Bombyx mori: one gene and its partner. The protein of the gene in region 1 purifies or fractionates together with the protein of each later gene. This does not show direct contact. Links are inferred from orthologs where the notes say so. Each region holds a gene or a part of one and is shown in the gene's direction. Other genes may lie near its edges.

What was found.
Region 2: the proteins of Lkb1 (region 1) and COP9 signalosome complex subunit 3 purify together in Homo sapiens (affinity purification with mass spectrometry; 5 studies listed by BioGRID and IntAct, with this or other methods). This does not show direct contact. The link is inferred for Bombyx mori from reciprocal best matches to the Homo sapiens genes STK11 and COPS3.

What each region holds. Positions count from the first base shown.
Region 1 is NC_085128.1:6,914,556-6,925,213, reverse strand, and holds part of Lkb1 (serine/threonine kinase LKB1), read left to right. Parts: intron 1-64; coding exon 65-253; intron 254-3,061; coding exon 3,062-3,222; intron 3,223-7,629; coding exon 7,630-7,751; 3' UTR 7,752-8,136; coding exon of another isoform or gene 8,137-9,081; 3' UTR 9,082-10,658. Other genes in the region: uncharacterized protein LOC134200964, read left to right, coding at 8,137-9,081. UniProt on the Homo sapiens protein: Tumor suppressor serine/threonine-protein kinase that controls the activity of AMP-activated protein kinase (AMPK) family members, thereby playing a role in various processes such as cell metabolism, cell polarity, apoptosis and DNA damage response.
Region 2 is NC_085119.1:8,364,511-8,373,946, reverse strand, and holds the end of COP9 signalosome complex subunit 3, read left to right. Parts: intron 1-31; coding exon 32-249; intron 250-1,397; coding exon 1,398-1,595; intron 1,596-1,948; coding exon 1,949-2,101; intron 2,102-2,247; coding exon 2,248-2,379; intron 2,380-3,460; coding exon 3,461-3,643; intron 3,644-3,978; coding exon 3,979-4,059; 3' UTR 4,060-4,113; downstream 4,114-9,436. Other genes in the region: uroporphyrinogen decarboxylase, read right to left, coding at 4,157-4,300, 4,620-4,787, 4,874-5,029, 5,153-5,296, 5,380-5,538, 5,607-5,894, 5,966-5,983. UniProt on the Homo sapiens protein: Component of the COP9 signalosome complex (CSN), a complex involved in various cellular and developmental processes.

The sequences.
Region 1 (10,658 bases):
AAAAATCAAAGTGTCGATCTTTAGTTGATAGAGTGTACTAGATGTGCGATATTAAATTGTATAGGTACAACATGACAACAGGGAGGTATCCGTTCGAGGGTGACAACGTGTACCGATTGCTGGAGGCGATAAGCCGGGGTCCCCCCGCGCCCCCGCCCGCGAGCGTGGGCCCCGCTCTCAGCGCTCTGCTCGTGCACATGCTCAACCGAGACCCTACACTAAGACCCACCGTCCACGAGATCAGGAGACACGCGTACGTATCATCCACTGTATTTTTTGTTATGTAACATCTACTATTTTTCTTAATTACCAAGTCTGGTTAAATTCCATGACGTGTTCACGTTACGTCATTTATTGCATCATAATATGAATGATATATCTTTTTTCACCATAGTGACAGTTTTTTGTCTGTTTTATGTTAATTAATATGGAAGCAAACGTATCCTATTTGAATTTTCAATCAATTTACACAGACCACATGCTTGAAATATGTATGTTTTAGATTCTGTTTATAAATACGAAATAACAAGATATTCTTGTATCTGTGTTTTCTAGTGCAGTCTGTGTAACCGCATGAATGATATGTTTTTGAAATAAAATCGGTTAAATTCCCTATTTCGTCCAGTATTTCGTATTATAATTGTCTGCGGGTCCGACGAGTCCCACAATTAATCAGAATCAGAAAATTTCGGTTCTACATTCCAAAATTTCATTCTCTGCAACCTGTAGCTGCAGCTGTTTGCAGATCGCCATCAATGGGGTAGTGATGTAACCAAGAAAAAAAGGATTCTTCGGTGGACATAATTAATCGCGATTTTTTATTAAAATCGTTACAATTAATGCTTCACTATGTTAGTTGTTACGATTTGCGTTTTTGAAGTCTTACATAATATGATCCCGTCGTAATGTATAATTATTAAACATAAAATAGAACATTTTGAAATTTTTGCAAATGACTCTCATCGGTCCAATAAAAGGTTTATTTTATTGGTTATACATGATAATATATAATACTCATTTAAAATCGTACGCGAAGCTACTTTTATTCGATTCTAAATTATATTTGTTATGTAAAAACTCCCCTCATCAACAAACTCGTAACGTAAATTGAGTAGTAAAGAACAGAAATGTGTGTGAATTCCTAACGCAACAAAACGCTGCTATGATTTCATTTACTGCAATAAAACGGTAGGAATAATAATAATAATGTACATTGAACACGCTGCAAATGATGACATAATTTCAAGGATATTCCGTAATGTAAATATTATTCTATGTTAACAAACCGAACACACATTTTAATGCACGACGATAGGTACCTACTTGAAATTCGTAAATTAATGTTTGTTCGTGGATCACATTGCGATCGACTTGAATCGTTTCGAGAAGAAAATGTGTTTGGACATTAGAATAACAAAGTTTAACAATTATGTTTGGTTAAGCATTTGATTATTGCTTTGTACATACTCGTACAATCTTGTAATGTTAAAAAATTAATCAGCGTGTTGTTTTTTTTGTTTTTTTGTTTGTGCTACATCCGTTTGAGCGTCATTTATATATAAATGAGTCGGAACTTTGTACAGTTGGTTCGCATTTCACAGAAGTTGGCATGTCTTTGTTTTTTTTTTCTATAACGTAAATGTCGCCACTCAATTTTAACACATGAGTTCTAAGTTTCTACAGTACAACGGCTTCAAAACAAAACGCATTAGTGCTTCATGGCCGAAATAGGCTGGGTGGTATTTGTTATCTAACTCGTGCGGACTCACAAGAAGTCCTACCACCACTAGAAATAGCTCTTATTTGCGCGTGAATCGTTTCAATAAATGTGTGAAGAAATCGAAGCGTGACCGATGTTAATTAATACCGAATACGGTCTAACTGAAACGTAATCAGTTACAGCTTACAACTCAATATATTTATCTCTTATCAAAATTTTTAGGAAATTATAGAAGCAAAATAAATACCATTACGTATCAATTTCGCGTTTCCTATATTTTCTTTTTGTTATTTCCGACGTGTCGGTTATTTTACAGTTTACGTGATCACGGACTATTGAGGTGTTGTTCGTCGACATTTGAATACTGTTTATATATTATGTACTTATGTCAAATGTAAAATATGGTAAACACTATATTAAGATCGTAAATGTAGTCTTATGTATTCGACTCGCGACAACCAAAGAAAATATAAAACTATAGAAGTAATGCATTAGATCTGTGTGCTTAGTGCGAGTTTATTAATGTTCTCTATAGCGTAAAAGGTATCCCAATTTTCTACCTATGCAGTTGAAACAGCGCCCCTAACGGCAAACGTCGGCAAACTATCCCATTCCATACAAATATGAGCTAACTTTTACGCTATCGAGAACGTTATAAAACTCGCATTAAGCACACAGATTGTCTTCGATTGGGTGTCGTTCACGTTCGATGTTACGGATACAATTAAAAACCGTCGGAATTGGATAGTATGTAACAATAAAATTGTAACAATAAACTGTGTGTTTGTGTTCTTGACGCTATACAATGTAAATATACAAAGAATATCTGTGAAGAACGTTTTTTGTTGTCTGTTACAGAAAAAAAAAACTGCTTATGAAATTAAATTAAAATTATAAAATCGATTATTTCAAAAATCAGTCATAATAATATGTACCTCATAGAATAGAATCATTGAAATACATCACGTAAATCTTGATCAAATTCGAATTATGACAGCACATCACGTAAAACTTGAAGCGAAACGACTCCCGTTAATAATGATGATAAGAAATTTTATGATTTAACACGTTGACCGCACTGAAGTAATTATATCGATTTCTCTCTTCGATTATCTTACTAAGGCGCGGAACATCTAGTACACTATGCGAAAGACGAATCTGAAGATAATGAGAATGAATTTATTTCTAAGAGATTTAAAATACTAAAATATGCATTAACAAACAAAAAAACTTAGTAACAGAAAATCGATATAATTACTTCAGGGCGCCGTGTAGGACACCGGTGACCTACATGGCCTGGTCAACGTGTTAAAAAAAAACATTTCGACATAAATTCCTCAGATGGGTGCAGGCAACACCGCCCTTCGAACCGGGCGAGAAACTAGTGAATCCGAGATCTCGACGTTCCGACGAGCTTCACACTTCGACTGTAATACCGTATCTCGTCGAGAGGCATTACGCTTCTGCGCAGGAATACTTCACCGAAAGGGACCTGCGGCAAGGTTGGTTTACACTAATCTGTGAATTAATACTTAGCAAAACTTTTTACGAAAATTGCGCGGGCTAAGGAGTATGAAATTTCCTACACTTATAGATAATATAGAGGAGTGCAGAATGCTAATTTTTTTTTAAATTATTCCCAAAAAATACTTTAAATCAATAAAAAATATATATTATACACACATGTATTTGACACACACACACACACACACACACGCATATATAAACACACACATATTGTTGTAAAATTTTTGTTATTGCTTAAATTCTGGTCAAATTGAGAATAGATTAATATTGTTTATCTTTAATATTATTTTTCTATAGTGTATGTAGTCTTGGCGAAATTTGTGATTATAGAAATATATTTTCTTTGTCTTTGACAATAGAACCATAATAATGTTCAAACTTATAATTTCAATTAATTAAAGTTGAATTTCGACTACTGCGGGACTACTAGTAAAAAGATATTTGTCGAGTTGACATATTAAAAAAAAACTTCAATGCCGCCATTTTTAATCCGATTTCAAATCAACAATGGAAATCATAAACCCCGGTTTATTTAACTAAATGTTCAACCTATTGTCTTACTAAATAATGATAATTGCTGCAAAAGTTAAAAAAAAATTCGTTAATAATGTCAATTTCTTGCACTTTCTTTCGACTGTGTAAAGTCTACGCAACGAAATGTTCACGGAAGCCATAGCAAATTCACTGTTTCACATAATACCGATATAGTCGTTATAGAATACCGATATAGACCTATCGTTATTACATAATATATCTGAGATGTGATAATATTAGGACGTGACTAAAATACATGTATTGATTATTTATGAACTCAGCGATTTAAATCAATTACGTAATTTTGCGTAAATGGCAAATTTTTAAATACGATAAATAACCATCAATAATCACGAACAAAATAAAATTCACAGAAGTGTTATTTATTAGACTTCTCTTACTGTTAGCTGTAGCTAGTTAGCTGTAGTCGTTAGCGGAACCTACCGTACAACACAAGATATTTGATAGATTCCTGAATCTCCCTAACAATATTTTCAAAATAAGTCTTCATATATAGTTCCGAAGAACCACATTCGAACGGCCTGTCTACACCCTCCGAAGCAAGGCTCTTGCTAGGGTTCTTGTTAGCAACGTCGTCAGGTTTGAGCTCCGTGAGCTCACCTACTGGTTAAAGTTACGCTGAATACTGGTAGGACCTCTTGTGAGTCCGCACAGGTAGGTACCACCGCCCCGCCTATTTCTGCCGTAAAGCAGTAATGCGTTTCGGTTTGAAGGGTGGGGTAGCCGTTGTGACTATACTGAGACCTTAGAACTATATCTCAAGGTGTGTGGCGCATTTACGTTGTAGATGTCTATGGGCTCCAGTAACCATTTAACACCAGGTGGGCTGTGAGCTCCACTAATCTAAGCAATAAAAAAAAAACGGTTAAGGTAGGAAAAAAGGCCTGTCTACCAAGCAATTTGAACCGCTCGGTAGAAGATCTTCCTTTTGTCGTTCCTCCTCCTTGCGTCGATAATCCTAAATGCTGATGGTCGTAGGCTCCTTTAATAACTTTCTCCTGGATTATCCTGCGCCAGACCTTCCTATCCTTGGCCGAGCGGATGGCATAATGAACTGAAGTATTGAGAGTAGAGTTTATCTGGTCCGACCAATGCATTGGGCTTCTGCCTTTGGGCCTTCTTCCGCATACCTAGCCTGTTACCGGCTTCTTTAAATTGTCATCTGGCTTTTTGGCAACGTGTCCAATGTGTCGTTAAACCTCGTAAACTGTACATCCCATAAGTAAATGTAGCTTAGGATCGTGACCTACTTACCGAATAAACTGTGGGCAACTACAGTGATTTGTGATCCTTTTTCATTATTTTTATTATGTATATCTTTTTATTATTGATATGTTAAGTAGTTACCGGAGACACACTTTGAAACATTATTCTCTAATTTGGCTCTCGCACCCTTTGAATTGAATCGGATCTCTGCTTTGTGGCAGTAGTAGGTAGGTATTATGGTACTTGCTCATGTCGGTTCACAATACGCCCTATTATCACTAATAACACAAATAATATTTGTTGCGGATTTGATTTATCCTTCCTTCATTGTGTAAGTCATTTGTGAACATTGGATTAAGTACGTATTTCATTGAAAAAAAATCGTAAATCGTTCAACACGAGTAGGTACATCAGTGTGCTTTTAAAAAACTCGCACTAAGCACGCAGGCGTCTAATAATTTAGGCCTTACAATGAACTTAATTTTATTTTATGCTATCGTCACAAAAATCTTGATGAAACTTTTTATCGCGTGTAACGTCCATTATCGAAATGTAAATAATAGATTTTGTTTGACCAGGAAGGTTTATGTGTATTATAAATTTACAAATCCTTCGTTTTAATCATTCACTTTATTCACGCATGTTTGCTTTATTTGTTCACGATTAAATTACTCTCATTTTATAAACTGAGAAGAATTGACAGCGCGCTGATTTTCACAAAATTGGAGATACAAACAACTCGGAATTTGCCAAAAAAATAATCAAATTGCTAGTTCAAGATATTAATGCGTAATTAACTAATATCGTTGCTCAGGATTAAAATATCAAATATTTTTTTTAATAATTTATATAGTTTATAATTTTAATAAAATGTATGATTCTCCTCTGAAATTAGAGAATTGTAACAATATATTTACAAAATTACTAATATAACAATGTTTAACACTATCCACAAAGAAATGTAATAACATTAAATCTGATGAGACAAAGTAGGCGACCATGAACTTATTTATCCTTTTTTTTTAACGCTGGAGAATCTATTTACGGACCGGGCTATGTCCGACTCCGGCGCCTCCAGAGAGAAAGAGGGAGACGAGGAGGGCTAAGGTCGTCCACCTCCCCCAATTCCCAAATTAAGTGAAGATAAACTTATCTACCCTAATCAATGTATGTAGCGTGGAGTCTCCGCTTCATTAAATTTGCGATACTAGCGCCACAGCCGGCCACTCCTTTTAATTGAATATGCAATTTCGAAAAAGGCACATGTCGCATATTTTGTCAAATACTTTTTTTCATATACATGTAGTTTTGAGGCTTACCTACACCCATTTTATAATAATTCTAGTAATTTTCAATTGCTAATTAACACTAAAATATATCTCAAAAGTTAATATTTTAAATTTTACACTGCTTTAGAAAATAATCAGTTTTTTTTTTCATTTCCTGAACATTTTACTTTTTCAGAGATGTGCCCTTTTCGATATTGCATATTCAATTAGTCTCTAACAGTATTTTTATATCTTTGTTTCGTAATAATGTACAGTTGTTTAAGCATACATTATTATGATTAAAATATTACAAAAACTAACATAATATTTTTTGAAAAATGAAATTGTTGATATTGCAGAGAGCGATGGGTTGCGCGTTTCCGGAACAGTCCGAGCACGCGTTTGTTCTCTCAGTTAGGTTCGTTGCATGAAGAGTGATATACTACAATCGCCCGAAATATTACAATAACAAATAATAATAAAATAACATTTATGAAAAAAAACTGTAATGCTTGCATATCGTAGAAGTGTCAGAAACATCCCAAGACAAGTAAATAAACACTAATATCTTGTTTAATCGTGTTATTAAATCCAAATAGAGTTTATTAACAAAGAGCCCGCTACTGAAAAAAATCGCTTTCATAAAACCTTTTTTTATACTATGCTGAATATGTACATAGTTTCTCGAATACAAGCGACGAATCCGCGATATACTAGGCGATCTCCTACCACTGATTGCGTTATAATAAAAAAAACGTCTTAAACGCATGTATTCGAAAAACTCTCCCATAGAAAACTCAAGTCCGCCGTGAGATTAATAAAAAAAAAGATAATGTCTATACATACATAAGTGCATTGTGAGATTATCGATCACCGTCGCCGAACCCGTCTCTTCTGACGAAGGGCTCGACGAGTAAATTAACCCATAGGCACAGTCCACTGAGTTGCTCGCCGGATCTTCTCAGTGGGTTGCGTTTCCGATCCGGTGATAGATTCTGCGAAGCACTGCTCTTGCTAGGGCCAGTGTTAGCAACATTCCCGGCTTGAGCCCCGTGAGATCACCTACACGTTAGAGTTACGCTGACAGCCTCTCAAGGCTATCAGATAAGGTACGAAAAAAAAAGTGTATGTATGTATCCAGTAGTAAGAGTCAATTTTTTTTTCTTCTATAGTATTAAATAGTGACTCAAATTTAAATCGCTAAATCTTTGTATAATCTTTGCTTGAGCCCCGTGAGCTCAGCTACTAGCTCGGTGAATCTAGAATAACTCCTCGAGGTTACTAGAGAATAGGTAGAAAAAAAAGGTGAGATTGATTCTTAATTTTTTTTATCGTTTGTTTAATCGTTTCCAGGGCTGGGTGACGGCGGCTCCCGGACGATGTCGACTGCGGAATTGTCTGACGGAGGATCGGGGCAGCACAAGAGGCGATGGCACTCGTCGTGCGGCCGGCTGCCCTCGTGCCGGCTCACGTGATGGACGCGTGACGCAGCAGATAAACTGCCTCCATAAAAGCATCGGATCAGATCTTGAGCGTCCGACGAAATAATATCGGGGATCGGTTACAAAAAAAGAATAATAATAATAATAACAGCACCGGCTCGGATCTTGAGCGTCTGGCGAAATAATATCGGGATCGGTTACAAAAAAATAATAATAATAACAGCACCGGCTCGGATCTTGAGCGTTCGGCGAAATAATATTGGGGATCGGTTACAAAAATAATAATAATAATAAAAGCACGGAAAGGATCTTGAGCGTTCGGCGAAATAGTATCGGGAATCGGTTAAAATAATAATAATAATAATAAGTAATAAAATAATAATAATAATAATAATAATGTAATAATAGCGCCAAGGTCATGCACAACAGTGGGGTGTGCAGTCTCAGGAAATATTTCCTATCGAGGGCTGACAGTGTGATGCACAGAGAGGTCATGGAGTGCGACAAAGGACTGACCCCGCTAGCCCTGGCCAGAGACGGGTGGCAATCACCGGCGGTACTCAGTACCTCTGACCGTGAGGCCATATGGAAAGGGAAAGAGCTGCACGGACGCTTCTTTCAGGCACTGCATGAGCCCCACGTGGACAAAGAAGCCTCCGTGCACTGGCTGCGATTCGGTGACCTCTTTGGGGAAACCGAGGGTTTTGTCTGTGCAATACAGGATCAGGTTATCAGGACGAACAACTATAGGAAGCACATTCTGAGGGATGGGACAGCTGACATCTGTCGATTATGCCGCCGACCGGGTGAATCCCTCAGACATGTCACCTCTGGTTGTTCTATGCTTGCTAACACTGAGTACTTGCACAGACATAACCAAGCAGCCAGAATCCTCCACCAAGAGCTCGCCCTTAAGTATGGCCTCATCGAACAGAGGCTACCGTATTATAAGTACCAGCCGGACGCTGTACTCGAAAACGACCGTGCCAAGCTCTACTGGGACCGGCCCATCATTACGGACAGGACTATTCTTGCGAATAAGCCTGATATCGTGCTGATGGACCAGACGGAGTCTCGGGTATTTCTGGTGGATATCACCATCCCCTACGACGAGAACCTCGTGCGGGCCGAGGCAGATAAAAAGACCAAATATTTGGACCTGGCGCACGAGGTGACCGATATGTGGAGGGTGGTATCTACAGAAATAATCCCGGTAGTTGTGTCGGTGAATGGTTTGGTCCCTAAAAGTCTCTCAAAACATCTCGAGAGGCTTGGTCTCAATAAAAAGTCGGTGGTGGCCCAAATGCAAAAAGCAGTCTTGCTCGACAATGCCCGTATAGTTCGCCGGTTTCTCTCCCAATAGTCCCTAACGCTCCGGCCGATTGTTGCCCACCTCGCCGGAGTGTGTCCTGCCGTCTTCCCAGGCGTGGCAGTGTTTAATACACTATAATAATAATAACAACAGCACCGGCTCGGATCTTGAGCGTTCGACGAAATAATATCGGGGATCGGTTACAAAAAAAAAAAAAATAATAAAAGCACCGGCTCGAATCTTGAACAGCTCTTTAAATAAATAAAAAATTAGTAACGGTGTAATATTTCTATACAAGGTCTCATGTATATTATTTTACTGGTGGTAGTCTTGAGTTCGTACGGGTAGGTACCGCCACCCCGCCTATTTCTGCCGTGAAGCAGTAATGCGTTTCGATTTGAAGGATGGGGCAGCCGTTGTAACTATACTTGAGACCTTAGAACTTATATCTCAAAGGTGGGTGGCGGCATTTATGTTGTGGATGTCTATGGGCTCCAGTAACCACTTAACACCAGGTGGGCTGTGAGCTCGTCCAACCATCTAAGCAATAAATAAAAAAAAGATGTCTATGGGCTCCGGTAACCACTTAACATCAGGTGGGCTGTGAGCTCGTCCACCCATCTAAGCAATAAAAAAATTGTATAGTATGAAATCTGGACTATACAATGTTGCACTGAATTGTTTGTATGCTTGTTACCGCCCGTAGAATGAACCGTGAAGCTACCTTGAATAAGCATAGTTGCTTGGCGGGTGTGGGCAGGACAGATGCACAGTTCGCGACAGAAGGCAGTTTCCTTATCAAATTGGATACGGGTCGTTGTTGGTGCAGCTGTCCATGAACGCACGGACGCGCTTGCAAGAACTACCCGTAACTGGTTTTTTAAAGAGGTTGAACTCCAATTATTCTGATAAACACACATTAAGGATGTTTCAACTTTAGCTTCTGTACATACTAATTGAGATCTTACATAAATATATTTATTAATTATTATTTAGAAAAGAAGCTATTGTTTAATTTAAAAAAAAACCCTAAACAAAGAGCTGATATGTTATTTTTCTATAAAAGATATTAAAAATATTTTCTGATCTGTCGATACGATCATAACACGTCCTGTCCAAAAATGTAAATCGATGCAAACAAGAATGAATCGTCCCGATATCGTGTTCGTCTTCATGTAACCAAACAGCTATAAAATTCCCTACGCACCGATGACAACAAACGCTCAAGATCCGACCCGATTATTACACTTTACGACTTATTTACTTGACACATGATCCAAATCACCAAAACTCAAACCTCCAAGACGACTATTAAAATAATCGAATAAAATTGTACTGCCAACTGAAGAAATAAAGTGCCTGATTCTAAAATAGTACATCTCGTTTGGTCTCGTTACGTTGAATTGTTGAAATATATATATAATTATAATACTCTGTATTTATCCCACCGTAACTGCATTTTTCATTTGCAGATTATGTATTAGAACAAGTTAAGTAAATGTAATGAGTAATTGAAAATGGCTTTTACGTGTCGAGAAATAACGTAACGATACTTTAGAAATGTGCTAAAGAAATATTAAAACAATATTGTAATGTAAAATAAATTTGTTGATATTACTGAAAATATG
Region 2 (9,436 bases), on another chromosome or scaffold:
ATTGTATTGTATTTAATTTCTAAAATTACAGATGCAGATTTGTGTCATCTACTCACAAATCATTTGGTAGAAATCAAACAACCAATAAGGGGCCTGGAAATATTAAAAAAGGCTATAAGAAAGATACAATTGTTTGATTCACAGCTGACCTCAATTCATGCTGATCTTTGCCAGCTCTGTTTGCTCTCAAAATGTATGAAGCCAGCTCTTGAGTTTTTGGACACTGACGTCACTGGGATTGGCAATGAGGTAAAGTGTAGCCTTTTAATCCTCTTTATTTGTCTTCATTCTTTAAAAATGATTATGATAGTGTTACCTCTGAAGGATTGGCGACACGAGAACCCTCTCATCGTGGCCGCCGGTAACTACATTCCAGATCCTGCGGACAGAATGGAAAGCAGTCGACGTCGCCCCCAACACGTCATTTCGGATCCCGATCCACTAACGGTGCTTCTAGGTACCTCAAGCACCGGTCATCGGTCTCGTCGAACCGGTCGCTTGCGACGAAGGGCTTGACGAGTAAATTAACCCTCAGACACAGCCCACTGAGTTTCTCGCCGGATCTTCTCAGTGAGTCGCGTTTCCGATCCGGTGGTCGATTCTGCGAAGCACGGCTCTTGCTAGGGTTCGTGTTAGCAACATCGTCAGGTTTGAGCCCCGTGAGGTCACCTACTAGTTAAGGTTACGCTGAAATAGCCTCTCAAGGCTCTCAGCTAGCTAGAAAAAAAAAAGGGTTGGTAGTAGAGTAAACGTATTACAGTTTTTTTTTATTGTTTAGATGGGTGGACGAGCTCACAGCCCACCTGGTGTTAAGTGGTTACTGGAGCCCATAGACATCTACAACGTAAATGCGCCACACACCTTGAGATATAAGTTCTAAGGTCTCAGTATAGTTACGACGGCTGCCCCACCCTTCAAACCAAAACGCGTTACTGCTTCACGGCAGAAATAGATGGGGCGGTGGTACCTACCCGTGCGGACTTAAGAGGTCCTACCACCAGTAAATATTACAGATTTACGAAGTACGAAAAGAGAGAACACTTAATTAGCGTATATTTTTTATTATAATTAAATGTTAGTGTTTCGGTAGCGATGGTTGATCATCAGGCTATGACTATTATATATTTATTAATAATATAATAAATTAATAGTATAATTACTATTAACTTATTATATTATATATTTTATTAAATTAATTTAATAAAATATATAATATAATAAGTTAATAGTAATTATACTATTAAATTAATTTAATAAAATATATAATATAATAAGTTAATAGTAATTATACTATTAATTTATTATATTATTAATATTATTAGTTATAATAATATAATTATATTATTGAACTAAACTATATTTCATAACTCTAGCTAACAAAACTTCATTTGTTCTAGCTTGGCGGTATTAATGATTCCAAACATTTTCTACTATATTATTACTATGGGGGCATGATTTATACAGCAATGAAAAACTATGATAGAGCTTTGTATTTCTTTGAAGTTGTAGTGACTGTTCCGGCAATGGTTGTATCCCACATCATGTTGGAAGCATACAAGAAATATATTTTAGTGTCTCTTATACTTCATGGAAAGGTACGTTACTCCTTCCAATGATACCTTCAACCTCAATTTTAAACCCATACAGTGAGCAGGACTTTTACTAAAGCCATAACTTAATATATTTTTTAATAAGCATGTAATCAAGCTATGCTAAAAATACATGTCGTACCATTGGAAGATCAAAACCGAAGAATCCAATTTTATGTTATGTTGTTTTCCTGGCTATACAAAAATTTTGTATAAAATAATAATTCCATGACATGATAGAATTGTTTGGTTTTCATTTCTATTTCAAAAATCTATTTAATAAATTTTTTATTCCTATAATGTACTTTTAGTTTTGTTCTTATTAGACATAATGATTTAAGTAATAACTCTTTTTAAAGGTTTTGCCAATGCCGAAATACACATCTCAAGTGGTTTGTCGGTTTTTGAAACCGTTGTCAGCGCCATATCATGATTTAGTGGCATCCCAACATGCTGCAAGCAAACACCGCGAGATATTTGTCAGAGACAAGAATATGGGACTAGTTAATCAGGTCTGTTTTGAAATAATAGCTTTAGATTAAATAGAAAAATTTATTTATTCGATTGATAATGACTTACTAACTCAAATGCAGTGTAATTAAGGTAGTGTTATATTTTGGAAAATATGAATAGTCTTTTATAACTAATTTTTTTTAAGGTTTTAAATTCAATGTATAAGAAGAATATTCAGAGATTGACAAAAACATTTTTAACGCTTTCGTTGAGCGATGTCGCTTCTCGCGTGGAATTATCTGGGCCTCTTCAAGCGGAAACATACATACTTAATATGGTAAGATCAATAACATTAGGTATCTTGAAAAATTTTTGTAGAACTATGTTCTGTAAGACGTGCAGTTAGTTTTATTAATAAGGGAAGCTTGACAGTATACAAACGTTCTATGATAAAATAAATAATTAACATAATAATATTATATTGGCGTTTTGTACGGGAGGAATAAAGAGTCAATTTATTTTTGTAAAATATATTTAATTGATCAAAGTATGCACCGTTGTTATCTATGCACTTTTGCTATATCATAGGTAGTGCATTAATTCCTTTACTAAAAAAACCATGGGGGTGAAAATCAATAAACTCTTTGAAGGCGGTTTGGATTGCCGGATCGAAGTTGAATTTTTTTCCTTGTAAGAAGCTGTCTAAATCCCGGGAAAAAAATGGTAATATGTCGGAGCAAAGTCCGGGGAATACGGTGGATGTCAGTGGCGTAGGCGATTAACTAATCTCAGTTGTTTAGCAGCTATTTCTTCCTTTATGGTTTGCAGTTGCTGACAATAGATATCTGCCGTAATCGTTTGGCCAGATTTTAGAAAACTGTAGTTCAAGTTTTTTACTTTCCCGATTTGCTTCAAGTGGATTTATACAGTTTTATCACTTACCCCGAAGCCTGCAGCTATCTCTGAATTGCTTTGTGATGAATCCGCTTCCACAATAGCCTTTAATTCTTCAATTTCCACTGTGGTCTCCGGTCGTCCACGCGATTGTTTCTGAAGGTCGAAATTTCTAGAACGAAAACGTCGAAACCAAAACCGTACCGTGCTTTCTTTTGCCACACCAGCGCCGTACGCTTCATTAATCCTTCGAGCTGTTTCTGCAGCACTGGTAGAACTCGTACTCGTAAATATGCATGCAACATTTCATGTTTTCCATTGTGCGGTAGGTAATAAGCGACGCTAAAGAAATAAATATATAAAGAAAATAAAAATAAATTACTGTTTTCAAAACTCAAACGTATAGTAGGTACTGGGCAAGAAACAATTCACATCGACCTCTAGAAAGAGACATTCGACTAATTTCAGCTTTACAGTACAAGAGTTACACGGCACAAAACTTCACATTTAATGTTTTTCGACAGATTGAAGAAGGCGAAATATATGCAATGATTAACCAAAAAGATGGTATGGTGGTGTTTCTAGATAGTCCAGAAAAATATGCATCACCGGAAACATTGTGTGTCTTAGAACAGCAAATGGCTGCTTGTACTAAACTTCACCAGTACATACAGGAAATGGATGTTCAGATACAAGTCAATCCACAGGTAACAACCGCTCTGGTAATCATTAACTGAGTATCGAACTTTATAAACGAACTGTTTTCATATTTTCTTATTTTTACTTCCTAACTTTTCATTATTTTTGGTCACCATCTGTAATTATCAGTCCTTTCGAAAAGAATAATCCAAGTTAATTAAAATTTAAATTCTTTTTTTTCGTAATCCTATGTATTTTCTTACAAAAGTTGGACCTGAACTGCTGCATAGTTGCTTTGCTTGATACAAATAGAATGCATGTCTCCTATTTTAAGCTAGGGAGATTTCTCAAAGTTTCGTTTTTGTTTTTTCTACTATGTAATTAATTTATTAAATAATTACAGTATGTGAAGAAATCAGTTGGAAGTCACGATGAAGATATGCCCGGCACAAGTCAAAATACGAAGACAACATACACAATGTAATATAAGTTATTTGTTGTATGCTAAGAATAAAAGTTTTCTGTATTAACAAGCAAATTCTTTAATTCCCAACCATATAACATGCATAAAAATATTCTTCTTATATAGCTTCATGTACTGTTTCAGTAAAAACAGTCATACTCTCAAGTGGGGTTTGTGGTGTAATCCCATGACCCAAATTAGCTATGTATCTATGTTTTCCAAACTTTTTCACCATTTCAGTTGTAAGTGTTTTTATTTCTTCCTGCAAAGAAATAATTCTTAAAAACATGTCTAATTTCATCTTAATTTCTTGTTAATTCGATTTTACTAATGTAAATAAAGTAAAATACATGAAAAGTGTAATTTCTTAAATTTAGTTATTGCGTTAAAAAGTATTTTGTTTTTCAAAGTTAAGTTTAAGACAAGCTAAAATGAATAAGTACGGCACATTAACTCAGGTTTAACAAAAAAAATTTTTAAATCTGGGTTTTATAAAAAAAGCTTGTCATCATTATTCATGACACTGAAATGAATGAAATGAAAGTTTACGTCACCAGAAGAATTTATAATACATTACGTACAGGAGTTTTGTATAAATCCTGAGGATCAAGATTTCCTTGCAAAGTAATGTTTTCACCTACAATTTTCCTGGCTTCAGTAGGATCCACTGTCCAATCTAGTCCAATGGTTTCATAACCTAATTGAGCTTGAATATCTAAGGAATGTCCAGCTCCTTTTGCAAATATGGTCTGAAAATAATATAATAAGTATTCTTAATTGTGTGATTATCTCTAGAGCATGTTATTTACAAGTTATTTTACTATAAATAACTTACCATAGGAACCTGTTCTAAAGATTTTTCTGTAAGTTTAGCTCTAACTCCACTTCTAATGTCTTTCAAATATGGAATAGAAAACTCAGTAAATTGTTCTCTTGAGAGGTGATCTGCACTTGATTCAAATACTTGCAGAAGTTGCGCTCCACTCTCCACCTTCAGTTATACATGCATATACATATAATTATATACATTTCCATTTGAACAAATATATTTGATTTTCAAGATACATTAAGATCGATTATGTTTTTAGCAAAAAATATACTATTTCAAACTTACTTGCATCACCACATAGTCAATTATAACATTAGTAAGAAGACAAAGGAGTCTATGGACATCTTTAGGATACTTCTCGAGCCATTCTTTTGTTTTAGACATTGTTTTGCTTCCTCCACCCTCTAGCATGTATCCAAATAGTGTAAACTAAAATTTTATCCCAAAATTAATTAAATACATGAGTATATTTCAATGGCATCAAATTATACCTAAATATTTGTGATATTTACCGGAGCTCCAGTAAAGCCAATCAAGGGAACTTTACCATCTATTTTATGTCTTGTCAGTGTGATAGCCTTTCCAACATAATCCAACCTTGAAACTGCACCTTCTGGTTGGAGACCATCTATTTCTGATGGGGTTTGAAGTGGTTTAGGAAATACTGGACCCTAGAAATACATTTTTTTGTAATGATGTCAAGAATGGGTAGAGCATTTTTAAATTGGATTTTACTTACGACTCCAGGGTGCATTTCAACAGTCATGCCGAGTGCTTGTGGTATCACAAGAATATCACTGAATATTATAGATGCATCCAAGTGCTCATACCTTCTGAGCGGCTGCAGTGTTACTTCACAAGCTAATTCTGGAGTTCGACAAACCGTGAAAAAATCGTGTTTAACTCGGACTTCCTGAAATTCTGGTAAATATCTTCCAGCTTGTCGCATTACCCAAACAGGGACTTTGTCAACACTTTTTCCTAAAGCTGCTCGAAGTAGTCTATCATTTTTCAATTCTGGAAAATTCTGAAGGAAATTCAAAGATTTTGTTAATAGTGAAAAGTCTAGTAAAATGCACAAAAGCAAACTGCTATTACCTTGTTAGAGTACTCCATGTTATGAATGAAAGATTTTGATTAAAAAATAATTAACCAGGTCCAAATTATGAATTATGAGTAAAATAAAAAAATCTATTAATTTTAATGTATGTACATTTAATGTATTGGCCGACTTGGTTTATCCAGCTGATTTTAATGAGTTTTGTTTTCTTTTTATTTATTTTTAATATTATATGGCCTTGTAACAAGACCTTTAAGCCAAGTTTTATATTCCGTTATTATATGGATATGATAGCGAACTGAGATGCAGTTGATTATTTTGAGACTTTATCAATTGGAATGAAATTAAACATAAAGTCTCAGTAAAAAGGTTAATACTTTTTAAGAGTTTTTCAGTGAATTTTTTGAAAAAAACCGATTAGCTATGTACGTTCAGTAGCTTTGTTATTTTACCACATTTGTGGACTTTCAAAGATACTCAATAGTTAATAAGCCACCGTTATTACACAGTGAAACTTAAAGAAACACTAAATGAAAAACATAAAAAATTCAAACAAATTCACTCTTCGCACTCCCGCCAAAAAGGTCTGAGTTTTTTAAATCGACATAAGATTACTGACACTGACATCAGATATCAAACACTGCTGTCTTACAAGTTACGATATGTGCTATTAGGTTTCATACGTCAGTGGCTATATTTAACAACTATGCGTAAGTTGTAAGAAGCTTGAGAGACTATTCTTAAATATTAAATTACTATTTTATATAATATAATTATTATTTATATTATTATCTATGGACAATATTATGTACTAGCTTCACCGAACGTGAGTGAACGTGAAAAGCTTGAGGTTACTAGCTACTGAGGCTGGGTAGCCAGGGTAGCATTGCAAAGGGCCACTAGTATGATTGCGACGCGACGTGGACATAGCGAACCATGCGCGCTGTTTTATCTGTCTCTTTGGTTCATTGTGGACGAGCAGCGTCTTGTCTTCGATGCAGAAGTAGGGTTTGACTTAGGTACCGCAACGGAGAAAATCAAATCCGTTACTGTTCACTCACAGCAGAAACGTACCATAGTCTACCTTCGCAAGCACTAAAAAAAGCACGCTATATCACAATGTCATATTCGACCGCGACGGGGTAACGCAAAACTGCCGTCGCCCGAAACATGTTTTGTCGGATCCCCAGGATTCACTCTCGGGTTTTTTAGGCCTCTCGAGCACCGCCCCCCGTCCTTGTCGAACTCGACGAGCGAACTAACCTACAGACACAGCTCACTAAGTTTCTAGCCGGATCTTCTCAGTGGGTGGCGATTCCGATCCGGTGGTAGATTCCGCGAAGCACTGCTTTGGCTGGGGGTAGTGTTAGCAAATACTCCCAGGTTGAACTCGTGCGCTCACCTACTAGTCCGGGCGTAGCTGGAATAGCCCCTTAGGCTACCAGCGAATAGGTAGGGAGAGAAACACAATGCAGTAGGTACATTCGCAGAGTTATAGTTCTGAAATCTTATTCCTTCATCGTAAAATTTATTCGTGTAGAATGCTACATTGTGTAATCATTTGTTGCAATTTTTTTTATTGAGTAGGAACGTCTCACATTTCAACGATTTTATTTGCATAACTGGCACTAAGAGGTACCATGGTGTCTATTATAACTTCAATGCCTCTCAGAGCACAGAGATTCATAGTGCTAGTTGTTTCAAGAAGACTAATCTATTCATTCATTTTTTATTATATTTCTATACCGAAAACCGTGTCCGTTTGGTGTTGCTTAGACTAAAACCAGGCTACTTCTTAACGTGAATGTCGTTAAAGGCGAGGTTATAACAGCTAATAGAACGGGCAGGAGTGTTCTTTGATTGTCATACCAGTGTCCTGCGATATTTAATCAGCATCTACTGGTGGAAGGGCGTATTGTCTTCACAGCGCCTATTTCTGCAGAGAAGAAATCGTACATTTATACATTCTTACTTTATACATTTCACTATAATGTCATTCATCATAAAAAAATGTAAATCTTAAAATACCTATGCAAAGTTTGCGAGATTTTTCGTCTACCTGCCGCACCGCACCTATCAAAGTGAAAAAAAATAAAATAAATGAGAGGGGTCTACGATAACAAAGTTTTTGTAAAGCGACACAGGGCGACCTTTCACAATATAGTATTTTTTGTATCAAACCTTTATCCCACTTTCCTAATAAAGTTTATTCGCTTTAGATAAAAAAAAAAACTGAGATCGGATTTTGAGTGACTTCGGAATTTTAAAAATAAATTCGAATATTATGATTTCGTATTTATTTCGTAGTGAAAAGTTATGTTCTTCTGACTTATCAAAGAAAGTAAGAAAAATACTACATAGGTAGGTACGTTTTAAAATTATTTTTTAACCAATATTGTGTGTTTTAACTAATGTGTGAACAGTTCGTTAGTTATATATCAAAGATCATTATCATCAAGCTTAAAGGATTCTGATTTTTTTTCTTTGCTTTCTAGACGTTGCTCACTTGTTTCCCGAGATTATTGAAAAGTGATTATCCACCTTTAGATAATAGGTATGTACATAATATGTGGTCTAATTGTTATATGTAACGATGAGTTCGTTTGCCCATTAAATAAAATAAATAAGTTACTCATGGGTTATTGGCATCAGTAGTTGCATAGTCGCCAGTGTTGATTTTGTGGACTGTTCGGAAATAAAGGACCACTTATGGAAAGATGCAGTGTAAAAGCACGTCGCTTTGGATTAAACACAGTTGCATTTATTAAACAAATTTCGATAGACTGAGAAACAAAAAATGTTATGCAATCCTCGGATTAAATAAAAAAAGAATCATGCAGGTGCAGTGTGACTTGCGCATTCTGTATGTAATGTTGTGAGACAAATTTTGCTAGAGATTTCATTTTGCTGGGTGCAAATGTAAAGGATCACAAACAATAACGCCGAGCTTCATTTTTAAATCACGTTATTATACCTACTACGAAATTAAAAACAAAATAAAGTTGGTGCGATTTGGATCGCTTTGCTTCTGGTATTGCCAATATCTATAAAAACTGAATTGAAGGCAAAAGGTGGTTAGACGTCATAATTTAATTTGTTTTTGAAATAGTGTGGGAAACCATTTTTTATACGAAAGAACAAAGGGAGTCAGAAAAGATTACACGCAATAATTTAAGGCGATCCCGTTATGATTAAAAAAGTTTTCGTTGAAAAAAATTAATGGCTCGTGTATCTGCAATTTCTTTTTCGATTTGTGTTTTTTTTTTTGCAATTAGCCATCAAGTTCGACGAGCTCAGTAGGGGAGGTCCGATAGAATGAGTTTTGTGTTTTCTGTCGATCAGTTAGAAGTTATGGAATATTGTTAACTTATTTTCATAAAAATAAATGATTCGAATTGAAAGAATTCAGATCCAGGATCCTAAGCTGAAAGGTGCTTCAACATCTTGAATAAACAAAATTCAGGGCTTAGATTACATAGAACTAGTCTGTCGGTCAAGTTGGTAGCTGC